2 linked regions of the Caenorhabditis elegans genome follow. The protein of the gene in region 2 interacts with the protein of the main gene of each other region in a pairwise test. Each region holds a gene or a part of one and is shown on either strand. Other genes may lie near its edges. The genes, in order: ephx-1 and tam-1.

Evidence for each region.
Region 1: the proteins of tam-1 (region 2) and ephx-1 interact in a two-hybrid assay, tested with the Caenorhabditis elegans proteins (one large-scale study listed by BioGRID).

What each region holds. Positions count from the first base shown.
Region 1 is NC_003280.10:4,000,773-4,011,313, forward strand, and holds the start of ephx-1 (SH2 domain-containing protein), read left to right. Parts: upstream 1-4,141; coding exon 4,142-4,245; intron 4,246-5,969; coding exon 5,970-6,059; intron 6,060-6,108; coding exon 6,109-6,318; intron 6,319-7,119; coding exon 7,120-7,906; intron 7,907-7,989; coding exon 7,990-8,088; intron 8,089-8,871; coding exon 8,872-8,965; intron 8,966-10,223; coding exon 10,224-10,301; intron 10,302-10,541.
Region 2 is NC_003283.11:4,955,391-4,967,708, reverse strand, and holds tam-1 (RING-type domain-containing protein), read left to right. Parts: upstream 1-4,606; 5' UTR 4,607-4,714; coding exon 4,715-4,750; intron 4,751-4,806; coding exon 4,807-4,918; intron 4,919-5,640; coding exon 5,641-6,266; intron 6,267-6,309; coding exon 6,310-6,516; intron 6,517-6,665; coding exon 6,666-7,611; intron 7,612-7,762; coding exon 7,763-8,582; intron 8,583-8,635; coding exon 8,636-8,723; 3' UTR 8,724-9,106; downstream 9,107-12,318. Other genes in the region: str-208 (Serpentine receptor class r-10), read right to left, coding at 9,137-9,544, 10,053-10,194, 10,249-10,462, 10,553-10,640, 10,689-10,880.

The sequences.
Region 1 (10,541 bases), on a different chromosome or scaffold from region 2:
CTTATTAATTATAAAATTTTGTTGTTTTTTTTAATTTTAAGTTGAAATGTTTTGTGTGGAATGTCCATAATTTTATCCTGATTTTGAAAACAAATTGTCAATTTGTTCTGGCAATTTATAGTTTAAAATGCGGTAAATCTCAAATTGACACTTTAATTTATATTTGCGCTTTCATCGTTTGTTTGTTTGTTTATTCGAAATTTGATAAAATAGCAACAAAATGTAATACATAGAAGATCATAGGCTTAAGCTGTCTAACTCAGTCTGCTCCAGGCCTGCCACAGGCCTGCCTCAAGCATGCCTACCTAGATAATGTTTACCACTTTACATTCACTTGTTTACGTGAACTTTGACCGTAGGTACCTGAAAAGCAACGAGGCAGATGTAGGTCGCCTTATTAGATACAGGCAAGCCTAGGACCAAGGGTGCGCGGCAATTGCCGAACGGCAATTCTACAAAATGAGACGGTTGGGCATGTTTCCCCGATCTTTTTTATTAAAATTTGATGATACAATATAGAAAAATATTTTCTCTATCTGAAAATGACTTTTATTTGACTTGAAACAACCGAGAAAGTGTTCAAAAATTGTCCGAAAGCTGAAAATTGCCGTCAATTTTTCGGAAATTTTTATCGGCAATTTTCAACTTTCGGACAATTTTTGAACACTTTCTCGGTTGTTTTAAGTCAAATAAAAATCATTTTCAGATAGAGAAAATATTTTTCTATATTGTATCATCAAATTTTAATGAAAAAGATCGGGGAAACATGCCCAACCGTCTCATTTTGTAGAATTGCCGTTCGGCAATTGCCGCGCACCCCTGCCTAGGACGCCTTAGAAACAGGCAGGTGAGGTCACCTCGAAGTCAACCAGGCGTCGATGTAGGTAACCTCTAAGGCAAAAGGGCACTTGTAGGTCGTCTAGAATACAAACGTAGGTAGGTCTGAAGGCAGGTAGGCGTAGGCCTGCCAAAACTGTCTGTATTTTTTTAAAGTAACTGTGTTCTGAAAATTCTTCAAAAAATGAGTATGAGAATGCCTAAAAGACTTAGAAAATTTCAAAAATATTTTAAATTCCAAAAAAGAAAATTTCAGAAAGTTCCCAATATTTTTCTTTTCCGAATCCTCGCTTTAAAATGGGCGATAAAAATCTCCAAAACGTTTTTTTTTCTTTCAAAAAGTTCAATTTCTCGCAATTTCCCGCCTCCCATATATCTTGTCACCTTTGGCACCGAAGCGAGCCGCTTCTCTCTCAAAAGTCAATTGATATATTTAATAGAGTGCAGCGGTAAAATCTTTACACATTTCGTACGAGAGCACTTGGCACTGGGACATTGTAAATTGAACAGGAAAATAGAAATAAAACTATTATAGATTCGCAACAAATAGTCCAATTGACCATCAAATTTTAATACAATAACCACCGAATTGTCTTCCAGCTGACTGAGCACCTGTACGGAAACGATTTGATTCTTTTGAGAACGAGGAAAAGGGAGTGTGAACTTGTACATTTGCATGTCGTACTACTACATTTCCTTTCACTCTCTAAATCTCTCGTCTCTTCTACTATAAATCCCTTGAGGGTTATGCAGAAAGACCAATCCCCCCTCTCACTCGAAACCTCTCTTTTACACAATCGGCGTGGGCTGTTTACTTTTCATTAGTATCAACAACAGTGTTTCAGTTTTCGGTTCTTTTGAACTTTTATTTTGATTTGGAGAATATTTAGTGCAAGCACGTGGTGTCAGGTTGCCCCATTACAATTTGATCTACGAAAAATGCGGGTAATTTTTTCCCAAAAAATGTGACGTCAGCACGTTTATATCCATGTAAAATCAGTTGAAAAGACAGCGTCTAAATTCCCGCAATTCTTGTAGATCAAACCGAGATGGGACATCCTGACGCCACGTGGGCAAGCTTATTAAGCTAAATTTGCTTTTTGAAAATTTTTAGAATTTTTCGTTTTTTTAAGAAAAAAATTTGACATTTCTTTAGACATTTGTCTAAAGAAATTATGATACAATTTTTAGTTAAAAAACCCGATTAATTTCCAAAAAAAATTCCAGAAAAGTATAATCCCTCTAGAAATCGATAAAGTAGTCAAATATCTGAAATTGTCTTCTTTCGGAGCTAGCTTGAATATTTTTGTCAAAACCTCAAAACTTTTCAGAAAAATTTACACAATATTTTCGTACCTATAGAATTTCCAGGAACACCTAGCAGAATTTTTTAAAGTTATTTTGATCAACTAATAATTCAAAAAAAAGTTCAAAAACCGGAAAGTGTTCGAAATCATTCAAGAATGTGTGTTGTGTATCTGTGATTGTGCAAATAGTCTTTTGTTACGCTCGTTTGAAAGTTCAAATATTTGATTCTGTGTGGGAGGTCACGGGAGCACAACACCTTTTAAAATAGTAGCTAGAAAACTAGTTTTAAAACTTCTAAACTTTAAAAAAATCTGAAAAGTTCTAGTTTTGACCTTTTTCAAATACCAACCAATTTCACTTTGTCATGGCTTTTCCGTATGTGTCACCCTTCCCCTCGGAACAATATTACTCTCGACTAGCAAGCTGTTCATCAATCAAATTTCATGAGTTATGAGCGTAGATGCCATTCTGCGCTTTGTAAATACGTAAAATTCAAGGGTTAGCTTTTTATGCGATTTATACTTTTTTGAAAGTTTTGAAAGTCTGAAAATTTAGCAAAAATTCAAAAAGAAGGATATGCTTAAAGCCCTAAGAATTTTTCGTTTTAACCTTGAGGATTGGTCGAAATTTAATGAAGGTCGAAGAGAAGTCTGAAATTTTGGAATTAGATACTTAGATACTGGAGACGAGCCTAAGCATAGTCCTGAGCCTAAGAATAAGCCTAAGCCTGAGCCTTTAGACTTTCTTGTGAAGCCTGAATCTAACTAGTAACCCTCCTAATAAGCATGAACTCTGAGGTAGAAGTGGTGCTCTTGAAGCATAAAAAAACAAAAAAACTCAAGTGCAATATTGCAATATCCATTTCGTAGTCCTCTCGAATGTCACTCACCCATCAACATTGTGCTCGCGGTCAGTAAATGCAAATTGCAATCCTTGCCTCCCGTATGTTTTTCACACATTTTCCTTATCCATCTGCGTCTCCTCGTCTCCCGATTCTCGCGCATTGACCACCACTGACCATGGTCTCGCAGGAGAAAAGGCGCTTCCTGTCGTGTGTTCTGCTCATTGTGCAGCACTTTTGAAGATTTTGCAAAATGCATATTTACTAGGAGAAGCTTTGTATAAAAATTTCACTTACCATTTAACCTCACTTCAGAAAAAGAAATGTAATTGACCCCCATTTTTCAAGGTTTCTTTGTTGTTAGAGTCTATTGTACTAACTTTTTTTATTCTTTTAAGTACTTCACACATTTCTTTGGCAAATTGGAAAAATGTTGAAAAGGGGGTCTGTATTAAGTGCTGGTCTGGAAGTAGCCATTACATAGCTGAAGCAAAGTAGCCGAGACGGCTAGGTCGACAGACTAGTTCTGTTCTTTCTGAATAAGCTTTTAAGAAATATTTTTATAGTTTGCTTCTAATTGTAATGGCGCTCGGCAGGCACTAGGCATGCACTAGGCAGACACTAGGCAGGCAGAAGGTAGGTTCTAGGCAGACATTAGGCTGGCACTAGGAAAGCACTCTGTAGGTCGTAGATAGGAAGTGCCAAATAGGCACTAGGCAGGTGCTAGGCAGACACTAGGCAGGCACTAGGTAGGCATTAGGTAGGCCCTAGGCAGACACAATGTAGGCAACCCCTCCTCGGCTTATCATTCCCAAAAGCTCTTGAAAAGGAAGATGTTTTTTTCATCATGAAAATTTTTTCCGCGATTTTTTGGGGAAGTGTGTATGTGGTGCGCAGTATAAACATTCGCCCCAATCATCATCAATATTATTGTGCTCTTTTTCCCACTTGCTCTCTCGGGGGGCTCCACTCACACATTCAAATGTTGAATCAAGCGATTAACCCATCGAGAGTTGTTGCATGCATCTCCTCTGTTTTCTTTTCCTCTTTTTCTCGCTTTTTTTGAAAAAAAAACTCTATTTTTAGATTAATAAAACATAATCAAATAAATATATGAAATTTACAGTGTCTGGGGGTAATCTGAGCCAAAATCTAATGTCCAATGCACCATCAACGACGACATCAGAAGCCCAGAAGATCGCGACAACGACGACGACGACGAAAATGCGATTGCCCAGTGTTAAGGAACTTGCCAAGAGGTAAGACAGCATTTTTTATAGGATTTTGTAGAGTGTAGAGATATTTTAAGGTTACTGTAGAAGTGGTACTATAAGGTTTTTGGGGTACAGTACTGCAGGGTAGTAGGGTATAGTAGGGACACTGTGGGGGTACTGTAGGAGTACGGTAGGAATACTGTAGGGTACTGTAGGAGTGATATAGAGGTATTGTAGAAATACTGTAGGGTGGACTACTTCAGGGGTACTGTAGGTACTGTAGGAGTACTGTAGGGGCAGTGGGAGGCTTTCACAGATGTAGTGCCGGTAAGGGCACTGTAGAGGAACTGTAGGAGTACTGCAGAAGTGTTGTAGGAACCTGTTCGACTATTTTAGGAGTACTGCATAGGTACTGAAGGGACAAAATGAGGCTTTTACTGTAATAACATCTGTAGTACCAGTTTAGGGTACTGTAGAGGAACAAATTGGAGTACTGTATAGGTATTGTAGGAGGATAACTGTATGGGTACTGTATGAGTACTCTAGGATAACTGTAGGGGTACTGTAGGAGTACTGTAGCTTTTTCCCACTTTGTACGTGTCATCGTTGCTTATTTTCAGCCAAACTTTTACCAAACATTTATTTTTGAAAAACTGTCCCCGCCTGCTTGTTGACACATAGATTCTATCCATTTTTTCAAAAAATATTTATTTAAGTTTAATTTTGGCAGCTCATATCTAAGTTGTCATAGTTTTTTATCAAAAAGTTCTTAACTGAGAAAATCTTGGTTTTAAATTTTCCAATAGTTTTGCAATTGACCAATTTTGGATATTTTTGAATTTCACCGGAATATACATAAGCTGCCAAAGTGTAGAACACAAAATTTTCATACCAATAGAATAACCAGCTAGAAAATTAACTTTTCTCTTGTCCTATGCTTCTTCGTTTAAAAAAAAAGTTTTTTGTTTATATGTCTGCAATTCAATTTCTGTATGATTGTCAAACAAATACTACTTTTCCTCCTCCTTCACACACTCACTCCAACACAGTTGTTCTCCAGCCAACAATAGCAGCACATTACCCTTCGGTTGATTGACATAATATATTGAAACCGGACAGGAAGAAAAACGGTTGAAGAAGTAAAGAGAGACCGAGGGCGTCGTCATTTCTTCCAGAAGCTTCTTCGTGGGAAAATTGTTGGAGTTTTAGAGATGGTTCGGAGAAGTTTGGCAACTTTTTATGAAGTTTTACTCTAATATCAGCTCAACTTTGAAAGCTTAAAAAAGCATTAAAAATGTTCAGAATCTTTTGGAAACTTTCTCCAACTTTCACCCAAACTTCAACTTTAGGATGTATATTATTTGGAATTTACCATCTCCTAGCTTTAGCGCCTGCCTGCCTAGGAACCTACCTACCGCATCCCTCTCTTCATTAGTACATCTCTGAAGAATTTCCAAAATGTGTATGTCTCCCCGCTCCCCCTGCCTTATCACCATCATTTTATTATTATTGTTATCAAATATTCCCACCACGCCTCATCACTGACCACTCCTTTTTACGATATGGTCATTTGGAGAGATTGTTAAACAATTTTTGAGTTTGCCGAAACGTTTCGTTTTTTGTAGTATTATAGAATGTAAAATTTAAAAAAAATTGCGCCAACCAATCAGCGACGTTAGCCACGCCTATTAGAATACGCTGATTAGTCGGCGACTTGTTGAATTTGCAATTTTAAAATTGATCTTCCAAAAGCTATTTCCGATTTCCAGATTCGAAACCAGCACAAGCCGAATTGAGCACCACAAACCGGTGATCTCCAAACGAATCGGCAAGTTCCGGGTAGTGGAAAACCTTCACGAGTAAGTAATTTTCCTCTTCAGTTTTGCTCTTAATTTGCTTGTTTTTCAGGCCGTGCACATCACGAGTGCTACGTGGAAGCGCCATACCGCGACGGAAAAGTTCGTTGAAACGACGAACGCGGAGCAACTCGGAGCTCGCCGTCCTGGTCACATCTTCTGAATTTCGGAAGAGCAAATCCACTGGCGACTTTTCACCGACGGGTGCCGGAGCATCGGGTGCTCCAATTGTGATAACACCGCTACCTGCACCTAGATTACGGTAGGTGAAATGAGGGGTACTGTAGGAGTACTGTATGACAACTTGAGGGGTATTGTGGATTACTGTAGAAGAACTGTGGGGGTACAGTAGGGCTACTGTAGGGTATTGTGGGATACTGTAGATTAATGTAAGATTACATCGTGGGTACTATAGGAATACTGTAGGTATTCTGTAGGGGTACTGTAGTAGTACTGTAGGGGTACAGTAAGGTTACTGTAGGGTATTGTGGAATGCTGTAGGAGTGATGTGGGGTACTGTAGGGGTAATTTTAAAAAATAATGTTTTTAATCAAAGTTTTAAAGTTGTTCTGAAAATTTTCAGTCTAAAACTTTATTTTAAATAATTTAGTTTGAAATACTATACAAAAATTGAACTTTTGGCAATTTTGAAGCTTTATAAATTTTACAACAATAATCTTTTACAACAATATCTTCAAATAAAATTTCAAAAAATTCAAATTTAAAAATTTCAATTCAATTTCTCTTCAAAACATTTCAGTTTCCAAAACCTTCCGGCTTTCAAAATCTTGATTAAAGTTTTGAAAAGTTACTTTTTTTACTTCAATAGAATACAATTTTATAAAAATACAAAACAGACAAATTTTTAAATAGTTCTTTATAAATAAAGCAAAATTTCAATGAAACCACTTCGAAAAACCATTAAAAATTTCAAACAAAAAACTAATTTCTAAAAAAAACTTTTTTTTTCAATTCCACCCACAGTGACTCATTTTTCGAATGTTTCAAGGTTCTCTATGATTCACGAATCAGAAATGTAAATAAGAATCCCTTTCTATTTCAGTCTTCAAACAACAAGCATGATTGTTGAAAGTTCCCCTTCTCCATCTTTCCATTCCAAAAAAGATGGTCACCCAGTGTACGAGGAGCGGTGTCGAGTGTCCTTAACAATTCCAATTTCTTCGTCAGAAGATCTTTCCGCTGTATCTCCACCACCACCTCTACCATCTGTACCTCCGTCTAAGGAGAGGATCAAGAGGATTCCTTCCTACCTGAAGCCTACTCCCGCGCCGAGGTCTATGTCTGCCACGCTGCCCAGGGCTCGTCTGAAGACCCCACCACCTCCACCCCCAGTTACCAATCAATTTGACACCCTGCCGGTCAGTTTCCGGAGCAGCTCAACATCCTCCAGCACAGGAGGTCTCCCGAGAATCCCGAATATCCCCGTCCCAGATGTCCCTTTTATTCCACTGGATGACGACAACTGTTACGATGAAATTATGCTGGTCACGCCATCATCAAACACATGTATACCTACACATCAACGTCTAGAATCCGAGTACACCTATGAATCTCAGTCTACCGACTTTTCAAGGCCGGAGCCTCCTAGAGCCTCCGGGTCAGAGCCCAATTCAAGCAGACGGGCTTATCCTCGGGATGAGGAAATCTTTGATGAAGCTGAAGAGGAGCTTCTGGAAGAACAAAGATTTCAAAAAGTGCCGGAAATCAAAGAGCGCTTCCTTTCCTCAACTCTCCAAAGGAATCCAAAATCCTCGAAAAGGATGAGCTCAATGGAGCTGGAAAAGCTGTTCAGGTTCAAGAGCGAGTTGCAGCTTAATTTGTCGAAAAAGGTTGGTGCTTTGTTTTTTTTGTTCCTTTTTGGGTATTCAGAAAACAAAACAAGAAAGACAAATCAAACTAATTCTGATTGAAGGTTAGCCAATTACGGCAGAAAGTCGGCGACAAACAAGCGAAGAGACGATCAAAGTGCCACGTCAGTGTTGATCTACTGGACACTGATTTTAGTTCTATGGTGAGTTTTTTGAGAAAAAATATCCAGAAACTAAAAAAATTTATTTAAAAAAATTTGAAGTAAGTTTTTTGAAAATAATTTCTGAAATTTCTAGGCAGTTTTTTAGAATTATTAAAAAGGTTTACTCTAAATTTTTTGAAGCAAATTTTTGTTTATTGCATTTTTAGTCAATATTAAAATTTTTTTAATAATTTCCAGGAATTTGATTTTTCATTAAAGTCTATTTTTTTCTGAAATTTCAAGTCAGTTATTTCAAAATTCTATAATTTTTAATTGAAATTTTTATAGATATTCTGTAATTTTCAATCAAATTATAATATAAAAATTTTTGGAATTTTTTGTCAAAACTTTAAAGTTTTCATGACACCTCTGATTAAATTTTTTACCTGGAACTTGAAATTTCTGGTCAAATTTTTTACATGTTTTCTAAAATTCCCAGTTAACATTTTAGTAATTTTTTTAAATAGAAATAGTAGAAAACTCCTTAGATTTTCTGAATTTTCTGGTCATAATTTTTTTGGAGTCTATGAACTTTAAGCCAATTTAAAAACGGTTTTTGAGTTTTTCTGTCAAAGTTTTAAAGATTTTTTTGAGTTTTTCAGGAAACATTTTTAAATGATTTTCTGAATTTTTTGTTGGATTTTTCGGTTGACGAATGAATTTCCAAAGTAAAAGTATCCAAAAAATTAAATTGAAATTTATGTAATTTGTTTAGGCAAATTCCGGAATTATTTCCATTTCCCTTTTTTCACATTTATTTGTTGTAATTTTTGAATTTTCCAGATGTCAAAATCGTCTTGCGTTGACAAGCCGTTCCAGGATGACGATCACATTTATGGGGATGATTGGAGCAGTGATGATGATGATATTTATCACGGTAAGCTTTTGCTAGTTTACAAATTCTTTTTTCCCCTTTTCCCTTCACTGGTTACCTCCTACCATGTCCAATTGTTGAAAAATCATGTCAACGTAGGAATTATGATCTTAGTTCCGGTGGTTTTGATTTCATCCTACTATTCACAAATGCTTACACTAAATCTATTGTCAGGGAGGTGTCGTAAGCCTACTGTAATACTAGGAATTTGCTTTTTTTGTAATTTTTTTTTTCGGAAAAAAGCCATGCAGAAATTCACAAAATACTCGTATTTCCAAGATGGAAATTGAAAACCTAATAATGGAATTATTCTCGAAAAATGTTCAAATTTTCTGTGCACGTTTTTTTTGTTTTTTAAATGATTTTTTAAAATTAAAATTGGCATAGATAAAATCTTTTGAATTTTTCAATGTCCTCAAAAATCCCGAGCTCTTCTAAAGCATTGGCTAAATTTTGTTAATTAACAACTTTTTTGCAAGCTCATGGTTGGAAAGTTTCGAGCAGCCGACACTTCACTGGTTTATATTTCATAATTAAATTTCTCATAGTGAGTAGGCGTCAATGCCTGCCTGCCGATTTTCTGTTAAACTCTGGTGTTTGGTACATGCTAGCAGGCACAAACTGCCTAACTTTGAATTTTACAAATTCCAATTAAAATTGGTACTCAAGAATGCCTTTTGTTCAACATTTGTTCAAACTTTTCAAATTAATTTTTCTCGAAACAATTGCAACAAATTAGCCAAAAAAAATAGTCCTTAAACTGTGCTAGATGATTTGAAAAATTGGAAAAAATCCTTTCAAATTTTAAAAATTTCTAAAAAACTATATCTACATATTTTTTAACTGCCTCGAAAAAGTTTTTCAACTATATGCCAAACCCAGATTTCCAGCTATTTCTTGCCCTTCCATCCCCTCTGAATCCGACTAGTAGTACAATCGGAAAACGAATAGTCACACACATACACCCAGAGACACACAACTTTTTTAATAATATCCTTCTCCTCCTCTCACCTTTTTTTTCACTTACCAAAACAATTCCTTCGCTTCTTCCGTTCCTCTGACGAATTGCTCATCGTCGTCTTCTTCACACTCTGTATACATTACGGCAAATATTGCAAAGACAGTCAGAGAGAGAGAGAGACTGAGAAAAACAAAAAAAAAGAACTGCACTTTTCTCGTTTTTTTCCTTGCTTTTCGAAAAAGGAGAGAGAGAGAGAGAGAGAGAGAAATGAAATTGTTTTCCCATATTACATATTTACAGATGACCGTCGCTCTTCTATGTACCGACAATTAGAAGAACAGCTGAACAAGGCGTTTCCGGACTACGTTTGTCGATCCCGTGAGTTACTGAATTTTCAGCTTTTTTCAGTTTCTACCTAGTTTAAAAACATTTATCCTGTCTATTAGAGAAATCTCAACACACTTTTTTCTGGTTAATTCTGAAATTTCCAATTAACAATATTCTTTCGATTGTTCTATATATTTTTAATAATAAGGTATTTTTACGAAATTTGTTGAGCATCAAGTTGAAACTACTGAAATTTATTCTTATTTTAAGCCAGAGGTCAGGCTTCAAAGA
Region 2 (12,318 bases):
CCTTTTTTTCAAATAATTTTATTGTCAGTGGTCTCACATTTTCTAGAACAATACTAATTGGAAGTAGTATACTGCCTTCAATTCACATTGTGAATTTCACAATCAATTCATTTGACACCCTTCACTCTCAAACAAGTATAATAATGGTCGAATAATACGAGAATAATCCAAAGTCTCTCTTCTCTATTTGTAATGTCGGTCTCTTTATCTGGTCACCATCACCCACGACCCACGAGATCTAATTTATTCATTACGTGCAATTGTCTCGGGACCTCCTTTCTTTAACACCCATATAAAGGCATATGGGAGGCACCATGTACGCTCTAATTGTTTAGTGAGCCACCATCGTTGTTTTTGTTTTTGGGATATGTGACAGGACTCTTTAATAGGGATTAGGTTGGGAAATAACAATAAAATTGCTATGAAATTATAATAATTGGATATTTGTGAACCACCTGTTGTTCAAAATACCTTGAATTATTTAATTAAAACTTCATAAACCTGTGAAATTTCTAAATGTCCTCGGCATGTTCCACTCAAAATTTCATCAAAGTACAAAATAGCATTTCCCATGATTGTTTGAAATTAGGTTCGGTTTTAGAGTGAAATTGCATTTTCTGTTGGTATGTAAATTACTCCACTTGTAGTAATTTACATATAATGTGACTTTGCATAAACTTGGTGTGAAAAGAGCGTATGCAAGCCTCTCCCAAAAATTTTGGTGAACGGAACCCGAAAGATGTTGGTTGCTGTATAATCTCACACTACCGTATACTCGTGTTGCACCCAACTACTTCACTATAAAAGCTTATATCTCGGTTCATTTGAGAGATATCAATAAACTCTAAACTGCAAATCTAAAGAAAAAGAACTAACAAATATTTTGCCAGTTGGCATTTTTTTAATAGAACAAATGGCAACTGAGATATTCGCTGTCAAAGTTGAACAGTGAAACAGGGAACTTTTTGGTACCTTTTTCAATTTTTGTGATGCACGTGGTGCGAGGCTGTCCCATTAAGGTTTGATCTACAAAAAATGCGGGAATTTTTTGCCTAAAAAAATGTGCTGTCAGCACGTTTTTAAGCATGCGAAATCAGATGAGAACTCTGCTTCTCTTCTCCCGCATTTTTTGTAGATCTAAGTAGATCAAGCCGAAAAGAGACACTCTGACACCACGTGGTGAAACGAAACTGAAAAAAACGTTTATATTTCCCCTTTCACACATATAGTTCAAAACCCAAAGAACCGCAGGCTAATTTCAATTTCAATAGCGAAAGCGGAACTATACAACATTGGTGGTGGTGGTATTCTTCGTCTCGTTCTCCAAATTCTATTCAAATTCATTTCTTCTCAGGCGTCTCTCTTCAGCAATCTTTTCATAACATATAAACCTCAATCATTTGTCATTTTCCTCTGCAATTTCCTGTCTGGTTCGCTTGTGAAATAGCTATTTTATGTCTTTTCTTATATTTGTGGGATTATAAGAAGAGTTTGGATTTTGATTGCCGTAGGAAATTGGAGCCAAAAACATATTTTTCGTTGATCTTTGAGATTTGAGATATTTGGCTCCAGTTTCTCAAAAAATCGACTTTAATGATTTCCCAGTTATTCCAAATTCTCACCCCTCACAACCCAATGTGTGAGTTTACAACCCCAATTACTGTGTAATTATCTTTCCCATTTCATCTCCTCCCCCAAGATCTGACCAGTCCCAATCTTTCTCTACTTCTTCACGTCTCCAACATCTTATCACTCTTCATATCTCTCACTCCCTTTGCCCCGGTTTTCTCTAAATCTCCTCTCTCTCGAGTTCTTGTCTCGATGACATTACAGTTTTTGTTATAGTGTGTACACCACCGGCTGTGATGAAGAACAGAACTCGAGAATTTCTTCCTCAGAGTTCTCAATTTTTTCCTCTATTTAAACATCTGATTTCCTAATTTTTCATGGTCACTAGGTTTAGGTTTCCAACTATTTTTCCCACTCTACTCCACCTCCCACCTTCTCTATATAATCCTTCTATTTATAAATTAATCGCAAAACGAAATAACATTTTCATTTTCACTTCGTACTCGTCATTCTTAGTCACAACAATCAGAACCAGCCCTATTTCACTACTAATTCCTTCAAGCGAGAGTGACGATGATCGGTAAGGTGGCCTGTACCGACCTTCAACCTATTTTAATTGTTTGTAACGTCGTTGTGGTGGTGGTGACGATGTCTATAATTAGAAATGGTCCTGGGAGATATCTGATGAAAAATCTGAATTTCCCGGAGCTGTCTGTCGCAAATGTCGCATGAAGTTAAATCCCGTTGCAAATTATTGATTCAAATATATTTTCACGTCATTTTTCAACTTTTCAAGGGCTGAAACCTCTGCAGTTTTTCCCAATCACTTAATTGAACTCTGACCTCAATTCCCTATTCCTTTCAGGTGTGGAATTGTCTTATCATTCCCTATCTGAAATCACATGTGATAGACTATCAAAAAAATTTCCACTCAGTTCTTCTCTGATGCAATAGTCATCATCGTTTTTTTGTTCAATATTCAACCAAGAAATAATCCCATTCAATATTATGTTTTGACACACAAATCGCATATGTCTTATCATTTTCAATGCATTTTGTCAAAAGAGACCCCTAGAGGGTATTAGAAAGACGAGTGGAATGGAAATTTTTGTACCCCCATCCTCACCACACAAGTCTCCAGACACATACACTCTGTATTGTTGCACAATGCCACTCTCTTTGTTATTTTCCTTTTTAAAAGCTATTACGCAATTGTGTTATTGATGTGTAATCAATGTGATCACAAAATAATAACATTGCATCAGTATTGTTGTCAACTGAAATGTTTTCCTAGCGGAATTAGAAACATGCTCTCTCTCTCTCAACAACGTAAAAGACGACGATAAGAATCAATATTATGATTTGACCTATTCTGCGTCTCTAAGCACACAGATGTTTTTGTCAAACATCAGAGCGACGGTGCCGAGGTATTCGTTCGTCTGTCATCATCGGTCTTCTTCTTCTTCTCACTTCACAACGTTTTTATTAAATTTCCATCCTTTTCTCTAGTTGCCTCTTCTTCGACGCCTGCAACCTCTCTCCTCTCGCCATAAAATCATCTAAATTGAGCCTCCACCAGCACTTCAATTTGCATTCCATTCCCTCCGGTGTCTTGGTCCAACTGCTGTTATGTATTCTTCGCAATTACCGAACACCTTTTGTCTTTAAGGAAGTCATGCTCTCTGTCGAGCAGCTGTGTGGTGGTTGCTTTAATCCGAGCCACCACGGCTCGCGCGCGGAGAGCTCAATGAAAAATAATCATGACCCTCGGTGGCTGCTGCCGCCCCGTGGGATGTGTCTGCCGGACGGGAAGGTTCGTTTTCTTCCCCCCGTCTCGGTGTAAACCAATAGAGAAGTGGTGGAGATTATCCCGGTGCACACACACACACACATACACATATGACAGACAACCATTCTCATCGATTTTCCGTCTTCGTTTTTCGTCACCATTTCTTTCTTTCCAACTGCGAGACCTATTATCCTATTATCGTGGTCCCCCCTGAAACAATCGAAGCGAGGAATAGACGCGTTGTCTTTTCACTTGATTCATGCACGCACAATTTGATGAATATATGACCCGACTCTTCTTCTTCTTTCCACTCTTTTCTCACTTTAATTTTCGTCGGCTCTCTTATTTTTCTGGGTTTTTATTCATTCAATCTCGCAATTTTTCAAAAAATTGCCAAAAACTACTGTATTTCTAAAGGCGCATGGACCATTGTTGAATTTGGTTCTCGCCACGATCTGAACTACGGTTGATGATTAAGCCGAAATTGATCTATTTTTCTCCAACTTTCGTCAATGAATCATAGTTTTTACAAAAAAAAATTTTGGAAGTATGTTTTAAATTCATTTATTCAATAATTTGAATTCAGTTTGAAAATAGAATACGATTTTTAACACAAAACTCAAAAAAAAAATCGCAAAACCCTACCGTACATTTTAAAGGCGCATGACCCAATTTATAATTTGGGTCTCGCCATGATCAAACTACGGTTGATTAATAAACATTTTTTATTTTTCTTTTTCTCCGATTTTTTCCACTTTTCCGCCGATGAATCATCAATTTTCATCAATAAAATGCCTGAATACAACTTAAAAAAATTATTTTACAATATTTTCTCGTGTGTTTGCCCAGAAAATGACATTTTTCAGTCTTTTTTTCGTAATATCACAAAAACAAACTTTTTTTTTTCTTGCAGCGCGAGATTCTTCTTATTTCGTAAATAGCATTTCGAAATTTTTTAGTCTTTTCGTATTTTTCACAGCGAAAACATCAAAAGAGATCACTCACTCACAAAACAAATTTCCTCCAGTCTTTATTGATTTAGACAGCAATTTTCTCAATCATAAACACGCCATCTCTCGTGCACCCTCATCCTCATCCACCCAAAAAGCCCCTTTTCATCGCAAAGTGCTTGTTTTGTCTGTGTCTCTCTCTGTGCGTTTTCCTCTCTCACTTTTTGATTCTTTGCAACTACGCCCCACAGCGTTCTCCCCGTTCGTTTTTCAAACATTATTGATTTTTCTCATTTTTTTTCAGGGTAATTTGGATTCCGCCTGACGGGCAAATCGGGTTCAAAACCGATTATTCACATTTTTATTGGAATATTTGAATATATTTTTGTATAAATAAAAAGCAATAATGGACATTCCGGGCACAAGTGGTACCAGTAATTATGTAAGTTTGTGTGAAAATAAAAATGATTAAAATCAATATAATTTTTGAATTTTCAGCAACAATGGGCTCACGTCGTCGAATGCCCGATTTGCTACAACATTTATGATAAACCGATGCAGATGGGATGCGGACACACGCTATGCTCAACGTGTATTGGAAGATTGGTAGGTTGATTGATAATTTTGAGCTTTTTCAGGTCGAAATGGTCAAAATTTGAAGGGAAAGTTATATTTTCTGCCGTTTTTTTAAACAAAATTCTCAGTTTTTTGCTTTTTTTTTAACAGAAAAAGGTAATTTCTGAGATACAAATCACATTTTCAGGCATTTTCATGTCATTAAAGCGTTTTTGAAGTTAAAACCACGCTTTTTCTCGAAATTCGACTTAAAAAATGTCATTGTTCTGACATTTTCAGTGATTTTGAGACGCTTGGAGCTAAAATTCATATATTTTTACTGATTTTCCACTTAAAAGTTCAATTTCTTCTTGAAATTTGAGAAAAAAAAAACGATTTTTATGTTTTTCTGAAAGTTTTCACAATTTTCTGCAATTATTAAACGTTTTCCTATGAAAATTAATGCCAAAATATAGAAAATCACTTGGTTTATCGGGAAGTAACATTTATTTCAGCTGAAACATTGAGGAATTCGCCAATTTTGAGCACTTTCTTTGAGATTTTATGTGGAAAAATGATATTTTCAGATAAATCAACTGATTTTCTATATGTTGAACTATTTTTTGATAAAAAACGTGATAAAATTGGTAATTTACCTGAAGTGACCTCTAGAAAACGCGTGGCAACCTTATTTTACAAAATAAATTTGCTATTTTCTAGCAAATTTTCATATTTTTAACTTCTTCCATCTCCAATGAAACTTAAAATTACAGGTAGATCAAGTGAAAACCAACATGGCAGAAGAACTCGGCCGCCCACGTGGCCCACTTCTACATCCCGACGATATAGGTCCAGGCTTCGGAGGCCTTGGCGGGTTTGCCGATCAGGAAGATCAACCACATTTCATAGATCTTCCCCGTCTAGATCCACGAATGAACCCAAACGATCCGAATATGGTGCGTGGAATTGTAGTCCTACCGAGACGTGGACCAGAAGCTCGCGCCACAGAGATCAAGTGTCCAGAGTGTAGAAAGCCGACGCTGGTGCCGGCGGATGGCCTACCTGTCAACTATCGAGTTCAGGAAATTGTGCAAAAAGTTGCTCCACTCTTCAAGGATCGCCATCTGGTCAAGCTGTGCAATCAGTGTGAAGCTGTTCTCAGTCAGGGTGTCTATTTCGATTGTTCACAGTGTGAGGAGACTGGCCGAAAGATCTGTTCGACATGCGCGATCCGATTGCACAATGGACATCAGCTGGTTGAGAAGAAGGCGCTGACGTCGGATGATGTTCGAGAGATGAAGCAAAAGATCAGTGATGCATCACATGCTGCATTTCAATCGCTTGAAAATTTGAAGCCAAGACTGCAATCTGTTGGTGGAACTATAGAAGCAAAAGCTTTAGATGTGAGTTTCAGAGTTCATAGAAAAAAAAAAAAAAAAATTTCAGAAGCTCACCTCGCTCATCAAAATCTTCGAGTTCATGCTCAGCACATTCGATTCGAAGATCAAGGAGAATTCGACAATGGACGAGCTGATGGAGGAAGTGAAAAAGGCGGAAAAAATTTCAAAAGTCTACTCGGAAGCTGGTGGACGTGTTGATGTGATGCTTACGGCTATCGAATCGGCGTTCAATTCCTATTGGGATCCTTTTGAGGTTTGTTGATTAAAAAAATATACAAAAATCTACAACAATCTTGTTCCACAATTTTTTTTTCGCTCAACTGGAACACGAAAGAAAGTAAAAAAAAACAAATTTTTATTTTTTTTTTAAACGTTTCTCCACACTCAGGATTTTATTTTCAGAAACTCAAGCAAGAAATGGGATTCCAAATCGACGAGCCTACTGGTTCAGTGAATCAGATTCCTGCCTCGGAGGGAGGAGCCGAACGAGTGAACGAGGTCGCAGCTCCCGCAGCAGGCAGACCTATTCCACAGAATGCCAGAAATTTACGAGGCGCGCTCAATCATTTCGCACAAGTGGCTCGTAATCGAAATCGTCAGGCGCGAGGAGTCCAGCAGCAGCAGGATCTTCCATTTCTCCCACCACCACCACCACATCAACTTGTGATGCCTCCACCCGCGATGCCTCCACCACAACATATGCAGGCCCAACGGCTCTGGGGAGGTCCACAACCACAACGGATGAATCAACCAATGATGGCTCAAGTTGGTGGGCGCCCGGGACAGTACATTATGGGCCATCCTCCACCGATGCATCATCAAATGCAACAAGGTCCACCGCGTATGATGTATATGCATCAGCAACATCATCCGATGCATCAGGTGGAAGATCAGATGCAGCGTCAGCATCAACGAATGCAGCAACCGAACATGAACAATATAATGCATGGAAACATGCAAATCGCATTCCAACAGCATATGCACAACAATGCCAATGTTCCGATGCCACCGCAAATGCCAGCTCATCCACAGCAACAGCAGCAGCAACGTCATCCCAACGAAGGGCAGCAATTCCAACAGGGACCACCGCCACCACCACCACAACGTATACAGAATCATCAACAGCAGATGCAGCAGTATCATCAGCAGCTTCAAGTGCAGCAGCAACAACAGCCGCAACCACGTGCGCAACCGTTCAGACCGCCAATCCAGCAGCAGCAGCAACTGCAACAAATTGATCTACAAGCGATGAACGATCGACAATTCCAACAGTTGGCTGATGAAATCGTGGCGGAGGATCAAATGGTACAAAATGCTGTCGATCCAGCAGCACCCGCTGACATTCCTCGTGAGTAGCATGCAATTATTTTTTGATCTACTAATAATACTAATTTTTGACTATACTGGTATTGTAATATATTGTTGATTCTTATTGTGGTGTCGAAACATAAACGAGTATGATTTCAAGGTTCTCTCGCAAACAAAAAAAATTATTTTAGGTGCCGATTGGGAAGAGATACAAGTTGCTCAACGAGGCGCCGGCGATTTTGGAATCAATTTTCATCCGGAACCGATAGTTGAGGAAGTGGAGGAAGAACAACCGGAAGTCGATCAGCAAGTTGTTGTTAATGGACAAGTCGTTGAGAATTATCGTGCCGGAGATATCAATAATGTCATTCATTTCGAAGAAGTTCCCGTGGTTTTAGAGCCAGATGTTGATGGTAATGTGGACCATAATAATGGAATTCTGGAGAATAACGTTGAAGAACAAGAACAATTCGATGATGTTCCACCGCAGATTAACAATTTTGTGGAGTTTGATGATATGCGCGAGCAAGTCGATGCGATAGAAGACGAGGAATTTGAGCCGGTGCTCCACAGAGCGGCGATAGAATTCCAAGAAGCAGCGGATCAGGATGCTCTAGAGCAAGATGTTCGGGAGCGTAATTTACTGGATCACGAAGCCGAGAACGAGGAGGAAGACGACGGTGATCTGCCTTACGAGGAAGAGGACGACGAGGAAGAAGAAGTTCATGTTCGTAACTCAGTTGTTCGTCGTCGCGTCCAGCGCCCACGAGATGCGGCGCACATTTCGGAAGTTGAAACAAGACGCTCTGCTCGCAGGCTTGCCAGGAATTCAAACAATCCGACTGATGAACCATCCACGTCTTCTGGAGCCGCCGGTCCATCAAATCGCCCACCACATTCTCCGACTCCACCACCTGGAAACAAAAGAAGAAGGGTTGATAGAAAACCGAAGACTGAAGAACCAGAACAAATGGAAACTGAACCAGTCGATCCTGTTCATCGTGCGCCAAAGTGAGTTGAGATTGAAATTGGCGATATTGACTTTCTTAATTATCGATTTTTAGGCGTCGTGGTACTTCTGCTGCATCGTCTTCCTCTAATGGAATGCCTTCGTCGTCTGCTCCAACAACTCGTAGCCAAACTCGTCTATAAATAATAATCTTCTCATTTCGTCTAATCACCTCATCCATGCTTTTATTCTGATTTTTGTCCATAATTTTCACCTATTGTTCTAAAGCACATTTCCCCCATTCATTCTTTCCCCTTTTATTCACCGTCATGAATTCTCTACGGTTTAGATGCTAGATGCTCTCTCTCTCCTCTTTCTTCTTATATACTTGGTATCTTCTAAAACTCTTTGCGGATCATTTTTTTCTCTACACGCTTTACACTTATCATTTCGATTTTCGTTACATCTTTTTTCTGTAAGCCTCATTTCTACTTGCATCTGATATATTTCAACTTGTTAAGGATTGCAAGATAATGTTTTGTATGTTCGCTAATAATGTTTTCATCATAAAAGTTTTCAGCATTTATTGAACATGCACGTGACAACATGGAAAATTTCAAACAGTTCCCGTGCGAGCCTGCACCGGTAAAATCGAATTTCCATGTGACTTTTTGAAAATTGTAGTGAATGAATTGAATATGGAAGAAATCGATTCTCGAATTGCATTTCGATAGCTTCTTACAATAATTAGTGTTGGAAGAGGATCAAGTGCAGGAAAAATGGCAGTTGTTATTGTGGTAATTCCAGTTAAGGAGCCGATATTTATTCGAAGAAATGAAAATGTGTATAAAGCAAATGCTGGAGTATGCACCAGAAATAATGGAATTAGTGTTTGAGCCACCAATGAATAGAACAATTGATTTTGCAGATTTTGAATGTGTTTCGACGATTCGATTTCTTTGAATTTCTGAAGGGATGTGTAGCATTTAAAACCGAAATAAAAAATGACAGACACGGAAATTATCTGAAAGAAGATTTAGAAGATTTATTTAAAAAAAATTCCGATTAATAATATTGATCCGGTTAATAATCCGGTTAACCCGGTTAATAATATTGAAAATACTCCAAGAATATTTATTTAAATTCAAAATGTCATTACAGGAAATTTTAAAACTCAAAATTTTTCAATTCTTGTTAATCTTTATGTTTGGAGTCATACTGGTTGGTCTTGAGTTTTGAGCTAAGCCTAAGCCTAAACCTAAGCTTAGGCGTACGCATAAGCCTAAACCTACGCCTAAGCATAGGCCTAAGCGTAAGCCTAAGCAAGGCCTAAACCAAAACTGAAGACTAAGCCTTCGCCAAAGCAAAAGCATAAGCCTAAGACTAAGCCTAAACCAAGCCTAAGTCTAAGCCTAATAATCTGAAACTCAGGAAAAAACCAAAAAAGAAAAACGACAAGAATTGAAAATTACGGATCATTTTTTTTTAAGTATTTACTTTCGTAAAATTCTTGCGTAAATCTGCCAACTCACCACAGTCACAGTTGTTGCAAAAATTGTCACAAAAGATGGATAGTAAATGTCCGTAGTACCATCTTCATTTTTTTCATAAAAATACGGCGCAATGTATACATTCTCTGTCACCTCCAAACCAAACTCTTTCAAAATAAATTCTCTGAAAAAATGTCACGAGGTTCGGGGTAAATCAATGTATACTGGAAGGTGTTACCTTAGGAACGCATCAGTACTCGGTCGCGGTGAGCAAGGAAAATACGCGGCAATACCCCACATAGTTCCAACTAATATTGATGGTAGAAGCCACCAAAATATTCTGACTCCTTCGAATGTTTTGATTGAATTGTTGCCGCTCACTGCCCAGAATCGATATATAAACTGTACGCTGAACATGACCATCAGTGATCCAAAAAATGCGCAACACAGGGCTGAAAATCAAATATTCCATTCTTATTTCACCTAGGCATTCTCGGCAAATCAGCCCGGTGGATTGTCTATACACTTTTTGATAAACTTACAAACTAAAAGTAACAAAACATCATAGCTCAACAAAGAATCTCTGACATTCACAATCATCACAAACGTTGAGCCGAAAGAAGTAAAAGTCTGAAAAAGCACAAAAAAGTTGTTGAATGTTCTTTTTAAAGCTTTTACCGGTTTAACAAGAACCTCTAAAACCGAATAGATAATTTCAAACATAGCAATTAGAATAAGCAAATTTTTGTATGTACCCAACGCTTTTGGAGACTTTTTTGCGACTAAAAGTACCACCAACGAGTTTAGGAATAGTGAAATTGAAGCTCCGAATATTTGAGAGAATTTTTGGAGTTTTTGCCATTCAGACATAATTCTTATTTTATTATCAATCAGAATAATAGTAGTTTAAGCGTTTCGGGTGGTTTAAGTAGGCGCGAATAAAGAACTAAAAACAAAAACTATACATTTGAGCCCTTGAGAATTGGCTTCTCTATATATTTTGAAAACACGCTAAAACGGTTTGTCTGATTATCAAAATACGATATAATCGTCTGAAATAAGATCATTGGGAGTTTTTGTTAGTAAAAACAAAAACATCGGATCTGGGAATTAAAATCTGGGGATCGGGGTTCTGACGTAAATTAAAAGTGGCGCCAACCGTATTACATGGTAATTTTTATAACCGTGTGCTTCGCAATTTAGGATACGACCAGCGCTCATAAAGAATATTCAAATTAATTTAAGAATAACATGCCTTATTCCCCATATTCTGAGAAGCAAAATGTGATATCAAACTCCAATCTAACCAATCTGTTTCGAAGCTTGAAAACCCCAAAATATGTAATCTGCCAAAACTTTGTATGTGTGAGAGTGAATTATGAATTGGCAAGACTTCCAGGAGTCCATATTTTGACAAATCACAAAGTTTTACATGTTAAATAAATAGAAAAATGTGTCAGCTATCAACAAAATAATGAATTTTTGTCTCAAAATGCTCTAATCTCTAAAAAATCCAGGTTTTGTGTGCGCAACTCTATTATCAATAATTACGAGCTTTTTGATATTTTTTTTACCTGTTGTGTTTTTTGAATTTGAACAAGGTTGTTAAAAATGTTTGTGATTTGAACATTAATTAATCACCAGAAACAACTCGAACAAAAATATTTCACAATTTATTCATTCGATAAGTTCCAAGTACATTATCATTATCAAGCCACAGATTTCATTTCCACACTGCCACAAGTCGCCGAGGTTGCACAAATCGATGAATTTGCTGGAGCAACATCATTCTTGCCAATGCAAAAGTTTCAGTAATGTGGTACAAAGAAGATGTATGCAAATGGGGAGACAACTGGAGCCAACATGAAAGAAATCGTGATGGCGTACTGTACAGTGTCAGGTCGCGTGGATTGGGAGTACATGGCGAGGAAGGAAGGAAGAAGAAAGAAGACACCGAGGAAGAACCAGATGGGAATACACACTTGGAAGGTTAGGATCTGTAATATTTACTGTTTAACAAGATCGGTTTAAGAGGGATTTTGGTACGTATTCGTTTTTTGGTTTTATAAAAAGTTAGATTTTTAGATTTTCACTGGGAAACAGTGTGCGAAAAACGGGCGAAACCAGGCTAGCCAGTCCTCTACCACCCTCCATACCTTAACTAATTGTCTGTTGATAATCTTGAGATCATTCGAAAGGCGCACTCCCATGCTTTTGAGAAAGTTGATAAGAACATTCCAAATGTAGGATTACAACGAGAAGAGCGGTGAACACAAGCTGAACAAAGACGACAATTGAACTCCAATAC